Linked DNA regions of Macaca mulatta. The protein of the gene in region 2 purifies or fractionates together with the protein of the main gene of each other region. This does not show direct contact. Links are inferred from orthologs where the notes say so. Each region holds a gene or a part of one and is shown on either strand. Other genes may lie near its edges. The genes, in order: KIF5A and KLC2.

The links.
Region 1: the proteins of KLC2 (region 2) and KIF5A purify together in Homo sapiens (affinity purification with western blotting; 3 studies listed by BioGRID and IntAct, with this or other methods). This does not show direct contact. The link is inferred for Macaca mulatta from reciprocal best matches to the Homo sapiens genes KLC2 and KIF5A.

What each region holds. Positions count from the first base shown.
Region 1 is NC_133416.1:64,717,164-64,721,474, forward strand, and holds the start of KIF5A (kinesin heavy chain), read left to right. Parts: upstream 1-1,297; 5' UTR 1,298-1,525; coding exon 1,526-1,654; intron 1,655-4,311. UniProt on the Homo sapiens protein: Microtubule-dependent motor required for slow axonal transport of neurofilament proteins (NFH, NFM and NFL). Can induce formation of neurite-like membrane protrusions in non-neuronal cells in a ZFYVE27-dependent manner.
Region 2 is NC_133419.1:8,156,083-8,160,426, forward strand, and holds the start of KLC2 (kinesin light chain 2), read right to left. Parts: upstream 2,982-4,344; 5' UTR 2,966-2,981; exon of another isoform or gene 2,904-2,965; intron 2,539-2,903; exon of another isoform or gene 2,392-2,538; intron 2,301-2,391; 5' UTR 2,253-2,300; coding exon 2,025-2,252; exon of another isoform or gene 1,978-2,024; intron 1,744-1,977; exon of another isoform or gene 1,622-1,743; intron 269-1,621; exon of another isoform or gene 1-268. UniProt on the Homo sapiens protein: Kinesin is a microtubule-associated force-producing protein that plays a role in organelle transport. The light chain functions in coupling of cargo to the heavy chain or in the modulation of its ATPase activity.

The DNA.
Region 1 (4,311 bases), on a different chromosome or scaffold from region 2:
GGTTAGAGGTGTAGCCCCAATGTGGGAAGCCCCCTGAGTTCTGAGTAGTTAGGTCTTGTCTGGCCAGGCTATCAGCCTCTTGCTTTTGTCCCATAGTGTCTAAGTGACCTTAACCACTCATGAGACAATTGCTGAGCTGAATTTTCCTTTCCTTCTCCTTGTCCCATCCACCCTGCCCTTCCCCTTTGCCTAGAACCTCAACTCCTGCAGTCCAACTCTCTGTTGGCTAGCAGAGGCCTGTGACGTGGAGAAAAATCAATTTGGCCAGCTTCTTGGTGGTTCTTTCCAGGGGCTGCAGCAGGAGTCTGACCCAAAGGGAGAAAGGACAAGGAATCTCTGGGGTTTGGCATTTCTTTCGTTCTTCTTCCCCCACACCTTTTTTTTCTTTTTTTGGCCAGGGAAGGGGGCTGAAGTATTGGGACTGTATCCTCCAATGGTTACTGAGACGGGAAACACACACTCCCATAGGTACCTGAATTTGCCTGAAACCCAAATGCAGGTGTTTGCCTTAGACTTCAAAGTCTCTCTGGCCTTCCCCATCCCCATCATTGCCCCTCCTTCACTGCTTTCTGACTCCCTTTCTCTTGCAAAAATGTTTCCTACCCATCATCATCCCATCCTCAACCTAGGACACAAAAATAAGTATTGTGTCTGCTTTTGAATTCCCATAACCCAGAATGGGAGTTTATCTTCCCTGAAACTGGGGACCTGCTGTGTACGTTGGGGAGACAGTAGAGTGCACCTTTGGATGTGGAAGGGGAAGGGAGTAGCGAAAACCTCCCATGACACTCCTCCCTGACACCCACCTCCATAGGAGTACAGGCAGCGATCCCCCAGAAAGCTGAGTGGGTTGGGAGTCCAGCTTCCGTGCGTGTGGGGCATGGGATGGGCGTAGGGGGAGAATGAGAAGTGTGATCCCAGTTTGGAGAGAGGCTAGTGACGGGTTGGGGGATGCCCTGGAATAGAGGGAGTGGGAGATCTGTTTGACCCTTTTCGCTACACAGGCGACAGGCCCACCTCGGTCCCCTTATCCCTTCCAGGGGGTGGAGTCTGAGGGAGGGACAAACAGATCGAGGGTATAGGGGTGGGATGCAGTGAGTTGGGTGGGGAAGGGTAGAGGGCAAGGTTATCTCCGAACGTTAGGGATGGGGGAGGAAGCAGAGGAGCAGTGAGGTTCCAGCCTTCGGGGGTCGACGTCGAGCCAGCCTCCCCAGCTGAGGGAGCCCCGCCCCGGCTCCTCCATCGCGGCCCCGCCCAGGCCCGCAGCGCGGCGCTGCAGCGCGAGGGGCGGAGAGGCAGAGCGCCCGAGAGGACCAGACGCCCAGGTCTCCCGCATCCCGCTGCCGCAGGAGAGAGAGAGCGCGCCCCGGCCCTGCTCCCCAGGCTTCGCCCGGGCGCCCTCAACTCTGCCCCCAGAGACTGAGCACCTGTCCTCCGCCTCAGCCTTAGCTGAGAGCCCTCTTCTCTGGAGCACACACCACCCCTGCAGCCCAAGAAGTGTTCCAGCTCCACGCCGGCGACCACCATGGCGGAGACCAACAACGAATGTAGCATCAAGGTGCTCTGCCGATTCCGGCCGCTAAACCAGGCTGAGATTCTGCGGGGAGACAAGTTCATCCCCATTTTCCAAGGGGACGACAGCGTCGTTATTGGGGTGAGTGTCGCCCAGGAGGGAATTCGGGGAGGGGGCGGGTGGCTAAATCTCCCCGCCTCCCGCAGAACCTTAGTCTCTGCGGGTCCCTCTGCGCCCGCTCCCCGCCGCTCATCCTTCATCCTCTTCCCCGCAGCCCCTCCTCTCCCCTGCATCAGGATGGCTGGGTGTGGCCTGACCAGGCCAGCGGCTGAGTCTCTGCAGAGTGGCAGGGGGCTGCTTTCCTACCTTCGGGAGACTCATCTCCCCTTTGCTGCTGTCTGCAGCGTCTCCACCCGTTAGAACCAGTTCCATGTTTTTCTGATGTTTTCCCCTTCTCCACCCTCCCCCCCAACCAAGAGAAAGCGCATCTTCCCTTTGTTATTGGCTCAGATCTCTACCCCCACCTCCCAAGAAGGTAAGTGGGAAGACTTTTGGGTGGACTAGAGGGGAGGTAAGCAGCCCAGGGTCTCTGCAGAGTGTGGATGGAAGTGGGCTCTAAGACCAAACCTTCCATCATTCCCTAAAGTAGTTATAGCCTGGATTTTTGTGTGTGTGTTGGGGGGAACAGGTCTGATGCAGGGTTTACCGGGAAAGAAATCATTGATGCCACACCCAATCTTGGGGGGAGCCTCTAGAATCCTAAGGTCAGGTCTGCCTTTCGTTCCCAGTTACAGTAGGAAGAGGGTTTCAGATTCCCCAACTGACCCCCTGAAAGAAAAATGCCCAAACCCTGAGATCCTAGTAAGTACTTGCTTATTCATCCTTTCTCTTGAGGATCCAAGAGAAAGTAGCCGTCCAGCTCTACCTCATCATGACAGCCCTACCCAAGGAGGATATCTTAAGGGAACTAATATTTACAGTGGGCCTGTTACTCTATGTATATTATTTAACCCCCGACACAGCATTCGAAAGTAGTATCAATATTTCCATTTTACAGATGCAGAAATTGAGGCCCAAAGAACTTGAATAACTTTCTCAAGGTCATGCTATTAATCCATGGATCTGAACCTAAATCTGTGACTGCAAACCTCCCATCTCTTCCTATCACATTGCCTACCCAGGTTTCTGTTCTGCACCTTTATCTGTAATGGCCCAAAGGGAAATTCTAGGCCTTGCCCACTCCCCCCTGAGGTTGGTAGGGACCTCAGGCTGTGTGGGGAGAAAAGACCTGGGGTTGAGTCCTGTAGGACTTGAGGGGTGCTGGGCCAGGAAACGAAAACTAGCTTGAGAAGGGAGGGGCATGTACGAGGGCAGTCAAGGTCAGAGGTGCTTCTTAGGTATCTTTATCCACAGTGCTTGGCACAGAGCACCTGGAAACATGCTTGTTAAAGGAATGAAAGAAAGAAGGGGAGGAAGCCTGGGACTTCTGAGTCAGTGAGAATGGGACTTTGAATAAACATGCCTCGGGGGAGACCTGCTTACTAGTCTCCAAGGGCCCCAGTCTGTCACCACCTTGCACCCTTACCCACACTGTTAACTCAAATGGATGCTTTTGTCTCTCTCTCTCTCTCTCTTTCTCTCTCTCTCTCTCTCTTTCCCTGTCTCTCTCTGTGTGTGTGTGTGTGTGTGTGTGTGTATTTGTCACATGGAGAGGGCCTCTGTTTCTTTTTGCTTCAGGGACCTCTCTGGCCCTGCAGACTGTTCAGTCTGACTGGGCTAAAAACAAAACAAAACAAAACAACCACCAAACAACTCCTGGATCAACTCGGGAGGACCCCTCTCAGAGTGTCCTAGAGAGCCAGCATTAGTTGTGAGAGTTGGAGCTTAAGATCCCCTTGAGACATAAAGGCTGACAAACAGGGTGGGGGTGATGATGGGGGGCAAAACTTTTAGGCCCTATTTCCATGCTCTGGAAGGTTTTTCCAGTAAGTCTGAACCAACTCCTTTAGGCTCTCTGGGCCATCCTGGTGTAGTGGGATGGGGCAGGGGGTGATGTTGGGAAGAGGGGTGTGGTGTCGATCTATTGTTAGCCCAGCTAAACAGGAGAGACACACAGTGGGAGGTGGGCAAGGAGGAGAGATGAAAAGAAGCCCAAGGCCCCCTGCCAATTCAGATTCCATCTCAGCTCCACTGCTGGATCTTCCTTGTCTGTTTTGCCTGGTATCTGTAGGGCTGTATCTTTGTCTCGTTCGCTTGTATCTTCCCTCACCCTAGCCCTCCCTGTCAGTCTCTCATTTGAAGATAAATGCTTATGGGGGGCCATTTTGTCTCAGGCAACATCTTTAGAGTTTGCTTTTTCAGACTTAATATTCATTCATCATTTAGGGAATGAGGGCTACAGGGGGCATGATTTTTAGGAGACCCTTGAGGGTCCCAATAAGGGAAGGAAACTCCTACTCCTTTTTCTCTTTTCTCCTCTAGCTCTCTTTGGAGCCCACCGGGTTGGGAGCTGGCTTAGGAATTAATGGAGGAGGCTGCTTCAGGATGTCTGGGAAGGTTGGGGAAGAGTGAAGGTGGGAGAGATAATCTTTCCCAGTGCAGCCCCTACTCCTTCCTGTGACTGCTCTCCCCTTCGCCTCTGCAGCACTGCGGCTAGCGCTGAGCTTCAGAGTCCCTTCTGTTCATGGGCTTTGTTCTGCTTGTTAGAGGGTAGGAGAATAAGCTGGAGAGACAGCTCTGTGTGCCTTTTTTCTCCCCTACTCCTCTGACTTCTTCCAGGAACCTGGGGGATGGGGCTT
Region 2 (4,344 bases):
GGTGGGCAGATCATGAGGTCAGAAGATTGAGACCATCCTGGCCAACATGGTGAAACCCCATCTCTACTAAAAATACAAAAATTAGCTGGGTGTGGTGGTGTGTGCCTGTAGTCCCAGCTAGTCAAGAGGCTGAGGCAGAAGAATCGCTTGAACCTGGGAGGTGGAAGCTGCAGTGAACGGACACTGCACCACTATACTCCAGCCTGGGTAACACAGTGAGACTCTGTCTCAAATATAAATAAATGAAAATAAAAAATTTTTTCATAGATACGGGGTCTCATGAACTCCTGGATTTAAGCAATCTTCCTACCTGGGCCTCCCAAAGTGCTGGAATTACAGGCGTGAGCCACCACACCTGGCCTCCACCCTTTCCTGGTCCTTCACGGTCCAGGGTCATTTCTGCAGTGGTGTCTCCAGCTAGTCACACCTCCCACTCTGCTCCAGCTTCACTCATGGCCTTGATGCCCATGCCCTCCATGCAGACTGTTCCCCCTCTGTGAGAGTGCATGTGCTCCACCAGGTGTGGGACCCCTGACTGGTCCTCTCTGCCTGTGATGGCCAACTGGCAGAGGAGTGAATGTCCTTGCAGAGGGCCAGGCCGTCTGAGACCCTGTACTTTACAGTTGGTTAGCAAATGCCTAAGTGACAGGTGTTTCCATAACCACTAGCTTAAAAAAAAAAATTCCCCCAACAGCCTGGAAGTATACACAGCAGATGGCATGATCCCTATTTTAAAGAAAAGGAAACCAAGATGATACAACCTCCCCAGGGTTCACGTGCCAGGCAGGGGTTCAGCCAAGCTCTGAGGAGAATAAAACAAGTCTAACTCCTTGCACATCCCAATGGCTCCTGGACATCTCCAATTGCATATCATCCTGGCAGCCTCAACTAAAGGGGGCCAAAACAGAGTTCTGATCCACCCAGGCCCTCTCCTCCCTAATGTGCTTAAATCACAAACCTGGGAGTGATGCTGCCTTCCTCTCTCTCCCTTATTCCACCCTGGGTCTTCCTGGACCTACCTCCAGAACATCCAGAACTGGTCCCTTTTCTCCACCATCATAGCCACCCCTTAATTCCAAGCACCAGCTCTGATTTGAATTCCAGCAGTGGCTTCCTAACCACTCACTGGAGAGTGATTGCATCCTCGACCCACTGAGATTTATTCTCCACATCTCAGCCAGAGAGAGTTTTTAGAAATTCAAGTCAGACTGTGTTGCCTGTCTGCTTAAAGCCCTCCAGAGGCTTTCTGACTTCCTGAGGATAAAACCCACACTAACGAGGCCATGATCTGGCTCTTGGCTTCTCCCCAGGCCTCTTCTGTCCCTCTCTCCCTTCCATGAAGCTCCAGTCACACAGTTCTTCCCCGAGTTCCTCCACCACAACTCCTACCCCAGGACCTTTGCACATGCAACTTCTCCCCTGCCTCCCTTTCCTGGAGACTGGTTCATTTCTTCCCTCAGGTTTCAGTTTGTCATTTCCTCACAGAAATCCTGCCTGACCAGTAGACAAGACTCACTGCTGTGAGCTATCATAAAATCTTGTTCTTTTCTTTGTAGAACTCATCACAATTTGTAACAACCAATTATTTCCGTATGTGTGCTTTTGTCTCTTTTCCAAATAGGGCAGGAATCCTGTCTATTTTGTTGGGTCCTGTATCCACCTAACGGCCTGGCTGGCACTGAAAAACTCATCTGTTAACGAATGAATAGAAGAATAAATCGGTGGGAGGCTGTGTTTCCTTAAGGATTTTCTTTCTGTTCTCATATGCCATCCAGTCTCCCTTAGGTAGAGGGGAGCTGGGAATGGGGCTCTGCGTGGGGGCGAGGGTGATCATGGTCTCTTAGGGCAGGGCTGGGGTCGCCAAAGTGCATTTATTTCTTCAAAAGGTATTTACTGGGGTCCTAACACGGGGCTCCAGGAAACAGAAGATTCCTTGCTCATATTCTTCTCCTAGATTACTGGATTTCTCTGGAAGGCTCGATCCCTCCAGTGACCGCCCACCTCAGTACCCTAGACTGACCTACCTGGGCCTCCCCCAGCCCAAGCTCAATGGCTTCCAGGGAGCGACGCAAGAGGATGCAGCGCTCCTGCGAGCCAGGCTCGGCTTCGCTGGCCTCAGGCGCAACCAGAGGAGCCAGCAGGGCACGATGCTCCCCACGCAGAGTCTCCAGTCCCTGGATGACGGCCTTGGTGCCCAGCACGATCTCATCCTGGCTCAGCTTCTCCTCCCGCGGAAGCACCATCATGGCCATGGTTGTGGCGTCTGTGAGGACGAGGGTGCGGGCAGGCGGGCGCCGGGCCTGGGGCCACACCGCCCCAGATTAGGTAAACACAGGCGGTCCCCGGACGCCTGGTCCCGTGTGCCCAGGTCCCCCAGCCGGCAACCCGTACCTTGCCCACGCTTGGCCTACAGAGGGCGCGCCCGGCTCGTCTTGGCCAGGGAGACGCAATGCGGTGCGGCCGGACCCTGCTTCGGCCCCAGACCACCGGCTTAGGCCGACTTAGGCGGCCCAGTGTCTGGGTTTCCCCGGGGACCCCCTAACCAGGACAGGTATGGGGAACGTGGGGGCTCTCTCCTGTGCAGGAGACCCTGGTCCCTCCGGCGATCCGGGCCCAGCCCCTCGGACAGCCCCATCCCCAACCGGCAGGCCACGCCGCGGAGCCCATCCTCCCGACGGGCCGACCCTGCGGAGGCCATCTCCCTACAGGGGCTGAGACCGCGGCCCTCAGTCCTTCCAGGTTGTGCCCACTACGACCCCTCCCCTGGGCCAGCGCAACGTCCTGCGGCCTCCCCTAAAAAGGCCGCGCCCCTGCCCTGGGCCACCCGGGACCGCGCCCCCTACCAGGGCTGGTCAGATCCTCCCACAGGCCGCGCCCACGACGACCCCCTCCCCTAGGCCGACCTGGAGCCTCCCCCTGCTTTAGGGCCTGATCCCGTCTCCCGGCCCAATCGGCCCGCGCCGACCTGCGCCTGGTGCTCGGGCCAGGCTCCGGCTCCGGCTGCCTCCCGCTTCACCCGGACCCGCAGCCGCGAGCCGGTCCCGCCGCCTCCATCCCGCCGGCCTTCCCAGCAGCCCCCGCGCCGCCTTAAAGGTGAAGCCGCTACCTCGGTGGCGTCGGAGGGGGCGAAACACGCTTCTCACGGCCAGCTCGCTGCCTTAAAGGAGCGCGGGCCGGGCCGGCTCCAGCGGGAGGGGGACGGGGCGGGGCCATCGAGGCGGGGGCGGGGCGAGGACCCGCCCGGGGCGCAGTTTCCAGGGGCCCGCCAGCCCCGAGGGGTGCCCTCGGCCTCAAAATGGCCCGGGTCCTCAGGGTGTGGAGCTGCTCGGGAGATTGAACCCTAAGGTACCTAGTGTGGCGCCATCGAGGACGGCGGGAGAAACTGAGGCGCAGGGAGAAGGTTGGGCTTCCCGGAGTACAGAGCGAGGCATTTGCCACTAATTGAGCGCCTACTGCGTGTTGCGCGCCTTGGTGCCCTGGGTTCATTGACTTAATGCTCACGAAGACCCGAGAAGTGAATGCCGCTGTTACCTGGCTCTCAGATCTGACCCCGGGCTTCGCATCCCGGGGTCACATCTGGTGGGGGACGCACCATCTCTGACAGAGGTGGTTCAGCGCCCTTAGCTCAAGCACATCCGGTGACAGGGAGCTTACTACGTTCGGCTCTGAGACAACTCCAAAGGTTAGCAAAATTTTCCTTGTATAGACCTCGAAGTGCCTTCCTGCAGTGCTCATCCACAGCCCTAGCTCTGTCTTCAGAAAGAAAGCTGCTCCCTTATGTCAGTTAAGGTATTTGGAGACAGCGATGGTGCCCCGCGTGGTCTCATCTCTTCCCCGGGCTGCTCCTGGTCCTTTCGCTCAGTCCTACCGCAGTTTCCTGACCCTTCCCCATCCCAATTTCTCCTTTCTGGGTGTAGTCTAGCTTGTCGGTCCTGCTCAGAAGGTGGTGCTCAGCCCAGGGCCCAGTGATCAGAGACGAGGAATGAACTGCGCAGATCAGAGGGACGGTACCCCCAGGATGCCACCTGTCCACAAAAAAAGCCGCAAACCAGGCTGCCTTTTACACAAGTGAAGACCCTCTATTTTACACATCTCAGTTACATCCAACCAGGTTCTTCTCAAACCTGTTCTCTGCCAATGATTTTTTTTTAAGAGAGGTTCTGGGCCGGGCGCGGTGGCTCAAGCCTGTAATCCCAGCACTTTGGGAGGCCGAGGCGGGCGGATCACAAGGTCAGGAGATCGAGACCACAGTGAAACCCCGTCTCTACTAAAAATACAAAAAATTAGCCGGGCGCGGTGGCGGGCGCCTGTAGTCCCAGCTACTCAGGAGGCTGAGGCAGGAGA